Coturnix japonica: one gene and its partner. The protein of the gene in region 1 interacts with the protein of each later gene in a pairwise test. Links are inferred from orthologs where the notes say so. Each region holds a gene or a part of one and is shown in the gene's direction. Other genes may lie near its edges. The genes, in order: VPS33B and VIPAS39.

What was found.
Region 2: the proteins of VPS33B (region 1) and VIPAS39 interact in binary tests that used the Homo sapiens proteins (3 or more experiments, as listed by UniProt). The link is inferred for Coturnix japonica from reciprocal best matches to the Homo sapiens genes VPS33B and VIPAS39.

What each region holds. Positions count from the first base shown.
Region 1 is NC_029525.1:18,204,284-18,208,877, forward strand, and holds the start of VPS33B (vacuolar protein sorting-associated protein 33B), read left to right. Parts: upstream 1-1,753; 5' UTR 1,754-1,806; coding exon 1,807-1,914; intron 1,915-2,015; coding exon 2,016-2,096; intron 2,097-2,169; coding exon 2,170-2,231; intron 2,232-2,262; exon of another isoform or gene 2,263-2,319; intron 2,320-2,396; coding exon 2,397-2,446; intron 2,447-2,669; coding exon 2,670-2,737; intron 2,738-2,917; coding exon 2,918-2,963; intron 2,964-3,183; coding exon 3,184-3,278; intron 3,279-3,634; coding exon 3,635-3,739; intron 3,740-3,963; coding exon 3,964-4,060; intron 4,061-4,153; coding exon 4,154-4,231; intron 4,232-4,594. Other genes in the region: tubulin polyglutamylase TTLL6, read left to right, coding at 172-242; HDDC3 (guanosine-3',5'-bis(diphosphate) 3'-pyrophosphohydrolase MESH1), read left to right, coding at 678-789, 874-929, 1,102-1,342, 1,416-1,558. UniProt on the Homo sapiens protein: May play a role in vesicle-mediated protein trafficking to lysosomal compartments and in membrane docking/fusion reactions of late endosomes/lysosomes.
Region 2 is NC_029520.1:35,566,713-35,569,669, reverse strand, and holds the end of VIPAS39 (spermatogenesis-defective protein 39 homolog), read left to right. Parts: coding exon 1-55; intron 56-398; coding exon 399-503; intron 504-771; coding exon 772-792; 3' UTR 793-1,228; coding exon of another isoform or gene 1,229-1,294; 3' UTR 1,295-2,208; downstream 2,209-2,957.

The sequences.
Region 1 (4,594 bases):
GGCGCTGTGTCCGTGTCGCGGTGCTGCCGGGCCCGGCCCCGCGGCGGGCGGCGGCGACGCGGCGCTGGGACCCGGAGTCGCCGAACGCGGCGCTGGCTGAGGCCGAGAGGTGCGGCCCGGCGGGGCGGAACCGCGGCCGGGAGCTGCGGGCGCTGACGCGTCTCCCCGCAGGGCACGGAGGCGGCGGGCGGCGGCGCGGCGGGAGCTGGGAGCGGGACGCGGCGCCCCCGAGCGGACGTTGACCTGGGAGGCGATGGAACAGATGCGGTGAGGGGCCGGGCCGGGATGGAGCGGTAACGGAGCGGTAACGGAGCGGTAACGGAGCGGTGATCGGTGATCGGTCCGTGCCCGCAGGTTCCTGCGGCAGGAGCTGCCCGAGGAGTGGCCGCCGCAGCGCCTGGCCGAGGGCTTCGGCGTCAGCCTGGACGTGGTTCACCGGGTGCTGCGGAGCCGGAGCTGCGTCCCCCCGCGCCGCCGCCTGCGACAGGACGCGCGAGCGCTGCGCGCCGCCCCGCAGCAACCGGGGCCGGACCCGGCTCCGCACGGCGGCACCGAGGTGCGCGGCCCGGACGGTTCGTTGTTGTACCGCGTGCCGCGGGGGCGGGGCGGGCCGCAATAAAGCGTTGGACGTTTATTTGCGCGTTTCCCGTCGCGCCGGCGCAGCCCGCGGTACCGACATGGCGTCGGACGTGGCGCGGCTGCTGGACGCGGCGGAGTTCGCGGCCTGGAAGCACCGGGAGCAGCGGCGGAAGGACCCGGCGGGGACCCCGTACATCAACCACCCCATCGGTGCGGCCGCGCCGCCCTGACCCGCCCGGTCCGGCCGTGACGCGGAACGTGCCCTGACCCCCCCCCCGCTGTGTCCCGTTCCAGGCGTGGCGCGGATCCTGGCGCACGAGGCGGGAGTCACCGACATCGTGGTGCTGCAGGTACCGGCCGCGGGGCCGCACCGGGGGGACCGGACCGACCGGACGGACCGACACCGGGTCCCGTGTCCCCATGTCCCCATACCCCGACACTGTGTCCCGTATCCCCACGTCCCCCGTCCCGGTCCCGTGTCCCCGTATCCCATATCCCGTGTCCCCGTCCCGGTCCCGTCAGGCCGCGCTGCTGCACGACACGGTTGAGGACACGGACACGACGCTGCCCGAGATCGAGCGGCGCTTCGGGCCCGACGTGCGTCACGTGGTGCAGGAGCTGACGGACGACAAAGCGCTGCCCAAAGCGGAGCGGAAACGGCGGCAGGTGGAAATGGCGGCGGGGAGCAGCGAGCGGGCAAAGCTGGTGAAACTGGCCGATAAACTGCACAACATCCGGGACATCCGGCGGCACGTGCCACAAGGTCCGAACACACCGATCCCGGAAACGCCCGGTACCGACCGGCACCGGAAGTGACGCAGCGCGTGTCCCCGCAGGGTGGTCCGAGGAGCGCGTGCAGGAGTACTTCCGGTGGACGGCGGAAGTGCTGGAAGGGCTGCGCGGGACGAGCCCGGCCATGGAAACGGCGCTACAGGAACTGCTGGAGGAGCGAGGGGTGGGAACGGGAACGGGGCGATGAACGAACGGGGCAATAAACGAACGGGGCGATGAACGAACGGGGCGATGAACGAACGGGGCGATGAACGAACGGGGCAATAAACGCTTTGAACGGGGCCGTTTCTCGTCTCCTTCCCGGTCGCTGCGGGCACTTCCGGCGCGCGGTCACGTGACATCAGCGCTTCCGGCGCGTGAGTCCCTCACTGTTTATGTTCCGTCGCTCCCCGGTTCCCGCAGTTCCGTTCCGGTCCCTTCGTGTCCCGCTCCGCCATGTCCGTGTCCGTGTCCGGCTCCTCCCGGCGCGACGCTCCCGACCCGCCCGATTTCGGGATCCTGAAGCGCCTGGCCCGGGACCAGCTCATCCACCTGCTGGAGCAGGTCGGGCGGGGGGCGCCGTTACGGGCCGGGGGCGGCTCCGGGGGGGGGTCGGGTCCGGGCGGGGGGTTTCCCGGCTCCGTCCCACCGAGCCCCGCCCGCAGCTGCCCGGCAGGAAGGATCTGTTCATCGAGCCCGACCTGATGAGTCCCCTGGACCGAATCGCCAACGTGTCGGTGCTGAAGGTACCGCGGGGGCCGGGGCCGCGCTCGGTGCCGCCGGTGCCGCCCGCTGACGGCCCCGCGCGATGCCCCGCAGCAGCACGAGGTGGACAAGCTGTACCGGGTGGAGACGCGGCCGGGACCCGGCGCCAGCGACCAGTGAGTGGAAACACCGGGACGCGCCGGGACTCGGGGCGGGGCTGCCGCTGCTCTCAGTCGGTGCCGGCCGTCGGTCAGTCCCGTCTCGGTCAGTCCCGTCTCGGTCAGTCCCGTCTCGGTCAGTCCCGTCTCTGTCTCACTCTCACCCCGTCGCACTGTCCCCAGGCTCTGTTTCCTCGTGCGGCCGCGGGTCCGGACCATGCGATACATCGCAGGTGAGCGCCCGACCCATCGCTGGAGCAGCGGGTCGGGATGTGCCGGGTGTGTCACCCCGCGCCGCACTGACCGCACCCCCAGCAGCGGCCGCTGCTCCTGGGCTGCACCACGGCCCCGCTCCCGGGTCCTTCCTGCCCCGGTGCCCAGCCCCCATCCTGCACCACAAACTGCGGCTGTTCGGGGCTGGGCGGCGCTTACAGGGTCTGCACGTGTCGTTTGTAGACATCGTCAATGCTGACAAGATGTCAGGAAGGAGCCGCAAATACAAGATCATCTTCAGCCCCCAGAAGGTCAGTGCTGCTCTGCCCCGTGCCCTGCCCTGACCCTGTCAATTGGAAGCTGTTTCTTTAGCAGAGCTGCTGTGCTGAAGTCAGGTGCTGTGTCTGGGCAGAAGATCATCCTGTCCACTACAGGGAGCTGTTTCCCTGCCTCTGGTGGAGCGTGACTGAGGATCCTGTCTTGTTTTGCAGTTCTACGCCTGTGAGATGGTGCTGGAGGAAGAGGGTGTCTATGGTGGTGAGTAGGACTGTGGTGTCCCACATTGTTCCCTCGCAGCACAATGACCGACACATCCCCAGTACCGGGATCTAATGAGAGGAGCAGCAGTTCTGCCCCCGCCTGGGCAGAGGAAAGGATGAGTCCCCCTGGAGGGGACCCATCTGTGTTTGCCTCCTCAGCGTGAGGAGCTGCTGGGATTCCTGGGGCTGACCGCTGCCTTTTCCTGTCCCGCGCTCAGATGTCACCTGTGATGAATGGTCCTTCTACTTGCTCCCCCTGGATGAAGATATCATCAGTATGGAGCTGCCTGAGTTCTTCCGGGACTATTTCTTGGTCAGTAGGGATGGTCTGCTGCGTTCTGCCTGTGGGATGGCTGCCCTTCTGTTGCTTGTCTCTGGGCCCAGGGGAGGGCTTTGTTCAGGATGTCCTGCTCGGGCCTCCCAGCCCGCACTGCAGGCCGCTGCCTGCTGCCTTGGGGAGGATTTTGCTTGGGGCAGCCACTCGGACGTGCTGTGGTGGCTCCTCCTGAGCGGCATTGGGCACCCAGCCTGTTTCTATGCGTGTGGAGTGGCACCGAGCCCACCGACCCCCAGCCTCTCTTTGTGTCTGATTGAGGCCCCCAGTGCACGCAGTTATTTCCAGTCCAGCCTGCACAGAACCACGTATTAATGCTGCTGTGCTCCCTACAGGAGGGAGATCACCGCTGGATCAACTCAGTTGCTCGAGCCCTGCAGCTGCTGAACTCCCTGTATGGGCCATTCAACAGGGCTTATGGGATTGGGAGGTGTGCCAAGGTGGGTATGGTAGGGCTTATGCCCTGCTCTCACCTCTGGAATGAAGGTTGGTGGAGTGCCCCATTCACTCACTGTGCCTGAGCTGAGGCTGCACAGTGGGAGCTGCAACAGCACCCCCTGCATGGCTGGGGACTGCGCTGACACCCAGCCCCAGCTGTGGCTGCAGCTCTTAGAGGACCGAGGGCTGCCCTGTCACAGGCATTGGCACAGTTTTCCCCTCACAGATGTGCTACGAGCTGTGGCGAGACCTGGAGGAGGAGAGCGAGAGTGATGGGCAGGGGAGAAAGGCAGAGATTGGGAACATCTTCCTCATGGACAGAGGTAAGGGCTGGCACTGGCTGGAGCGAGAGGCAGCAGGGCTGGGCCTGGCAGGGGGAACTGCATGGGCAGTAAATGAGGACCCTCTCATTGCAGACATTGACTACGTCACAGCGCTGTGCTCCCAGGTGGTGTACGAGGGGCTGGTGGATGACACCTTCCGCATCAAGTGCGGTAAGTGGTGGCATCAGTGATGGGGAGACATGGGGCTCTCCTGAGGTTTGTGCTTGGTCCTGGCATGGGACAGTGCTGAAGATCTGTTTGAACAAACAGCAGAGTAAGCGTTACTTATCTCTGCAGGGATGTCACTAGTGCTGGGGCAAAGCAGATCTGGGGAGACCTTATTGCAGCTTTGCAGTATGTGAGAAGGGGCTTGTAAGAAAGAGGGGCATTTTTTAAAGGGGCACATGGTGGTGGAGCACACGGTAGGAGCTTTAACCTTAGAGAGTAGGTTAAGATTAGACATTAGGAAGGACTTCTTGTCTATGAGGGCAGCGAGGCCCTGGCATGGGCTGCCTAGAAAGGCTGCGGATGACC
Region 2 (2,957 bases), on another chromosome or scaffold:
GGAAACACGGTTGAACCTTGCCACCAAATACAAGTGCCATGATGTTGTGATTGATGTAAGTCTTTGCTGTGTGTATGAAGAAAGGAGACAAAAGCCTGTTTTTTCTCCCTAACTTTCCCATGTCACTCTTCTGTCATGCACCTTGAGGAGTTTTCTTATTCCTGTGGCTTGGGAACAGCATATTGTTCTTAGTGAAAGCTAAGTGAGCCAGGAGCGTGACTCCTAGAGTTTGTGCTGTGCCCAGGCCTGTCTGCTTGTGCAAATGGACTCTGCAGACCTAAGCTATTGATTGGAACTTGAAGGGAGGTTGAGATGTTGACACCTGCTCATCTACAGGGCACCATCTAACTGTGATGAAGTGTCTTCCTCACTGGATGCTGGTTTTGTTGTTTGTCTAGACGTACAGGGATCTAAAGGATCGCATCCAGCTGATGGCATATAAATGCAAGGTGGAGCGGGGCTCTGCAGAAGAAGAGAAGATAAACAGCCTACTCAATAACATGGTAAGAAGCACCTACTTTTTTTAGGATCTTATCGAAGGCAGCCGTAGGCTGAGAGTGCAGTAAGGACATAACTCCTACATCCTTTTCTCTCTGCTGGGAAGTTAATGTTATGTTTGGGGTTGCATTCAGTCCAAGAACGAAGGGTGATGCTGATAGAAGTAGCAGCTTATTGCCATGGTTGCCCTTTTCATGGTCTGGGCCTTGCTAATTCAGCCTGAAGTGAACTGTGATCAGTCTGATGTTAGTCATACTTTGTTCTCTCTTTTAGCAAATCCGGTGGAAGAACTGAGCACCAGTGAAGCAACCTGCTTGGCCGTTACCTTGCCAGTACAAAAGGAAACTGTAAAAGCTGGTCCAGCATCAACAGAGCAACTCTGTTACTACTCATTGCATGATCAGTGTTTGTCAGTGACACTGGGTGCTCGTGGCACTGAAGTATTCAGGCTGGTTGAAGGCAACTGCTCTGATGCAGCCAGTGAAACCGTGGTATCAATCAATGAGGGTTGATTCTTTTTGGAATCTGATTCTCTTTGACCTGTTTGTAGGACAGTCATGGCTTTTGTTTACAGAGGGAAGTTGCTGGACCAGGCAAAGTTATGTTTGCTTATTGTGGTGTCTGGGCTCATTCTAGTAAGAGGAACAGATCAGTCACTGATGGATCTCCAGTAGACAATGCTGACTGACCAGTCCCTGTAACATTCAGGCTGGCTTGGGCATCACCAGTCATGGCTGTGGGTGACAAGGCCTACTGGACTGCGTTCTCCCTGCATCAGAGAGTGGAGGGGGAAAGGGTCAGCTGCACCTTGAAGCCTTTGGATTGTTGTGGCTCACACCAGAGAAAGAGGTGTTTTATGAACTCCCACAGAGAGCTGGTGCAGCAGCATCTGCCAGTATCCCTATGCTGGCACTTGGCAGCTCTCGGCAGATCCCTTCATCAGAGAAGAGTGGGCGTGATGTATGGAGCTGGTCAGAGCAAGAAGGGACCATTCTCAGCACAAACCTGATGATCCCAGGAAGGACTGAATTGCACTTTCTCAGAGACAAAGCTCCTCAGGCAACTGCTGGTTTCATCCTTCCAGACTTCTCTTCAATTCCTTAAATAAAGCTCTCTCTTTCTCCTCAGGCTGTTTATTTCCTTCCCACATTATGCACTTTGCAGCTCTGTGCTGATCCCGAGTAATTTGTCGCACCTCCATCAAAGTGAGTATGCAGGGTGTTTTATCATACCCTGAAATGCACAGTATCACTGTGAAGAAGCCTTGCCTGCAGCAGTGTGTTATTTCACACCTACACGCTACAGATTAACTCATTTCAGTGTTTCAAGACCATTTGCTGCCTTGGAGGTGCTCACACAGAGCTGAAGGCCATGTACAGCCATGTACACCTGAGGGCAGGTGTGGCTCCAGCATCCCTGCTGCACTGTGCACCAAGTGCGCTCTCAGTTTCTATAATCACTCTTGTTTTTTGTTGGCTTTCTTTCCCCACAGAATCATAGGCATGTTTAGGTTGGAAGGGATTTCATGATCATCTGTCTGCTCCCTCTGCTTAGGAATAGTCATCTGAAGCAGGTGGACCAGGACTAGGACTGTCTCCAGTTTCAGTGTCTCACAGTTGGAGATACTGGCTCCTCAGCCTAATTTAATCTGTTCCTGTATTTGACCATCCTCACTGTTGAAACAATAAATAAAAAAGTATTGTGCTCATATAGAATCTCACATGTTTTGATTTGAGCCCACTGTCTCATTCTGTCACAGAGCACCATTAATGAGCATCTAAGTTTCTTTTCATGCCTTGATGAGTCTTGCCCTGAGCCTTTTCAGGCTGACCAGTCGTGGCTCTCAGCCTCTCAAAGTTGCTACAGTCCCTTAGTCCCTTTGCTAGACTCTAATATGTTTGTGCCTCTCTTGCACTGAAGTGTCCAGAATGGGACACACAGCTCTGGGTGCAGAGGATGGACCATCTTTGTCTTGTTGGTGCCTTTCTTCCTAACACAGCCAGGATGCTGCTGGTTAGGGCAGTGCTTTCTGCCGGGCTTATCCATGTGCCCCAGGCCAGGAATTGCTGGGTTGTTGCTGGTTGTGTTTTTTACAACGGAGCAGCAGGCAAAGCTGAACATGTCCTTGGAGGAATATGATTAAGCCCAAGAATAAATCTCACCTGCATTCCCCAAGCTTGGGTCCTGGATACCTCACCTGTGGTAGGTTAGGAGCAAAGTACAGCAGGCTGTGCCTACTAATCCCAAGCCCAGTGTGTAGAATGCAGTGCTTCCTCATCCTCATGCTGACTTTTCCCTGAGCTTGGTGTCATTGTGGGGCTTGATATGCTGGGTATCAGCTCTTAATTTGCTGAGCTGCTTTGCAGCAACTCACACCAGTGCCACAGATGTCACAACAGCTTGCCTGGTCCTTGACCTCAGGGCTCCTTTTCAACCCCCTCCTCCTGGGAGTGTAGTGG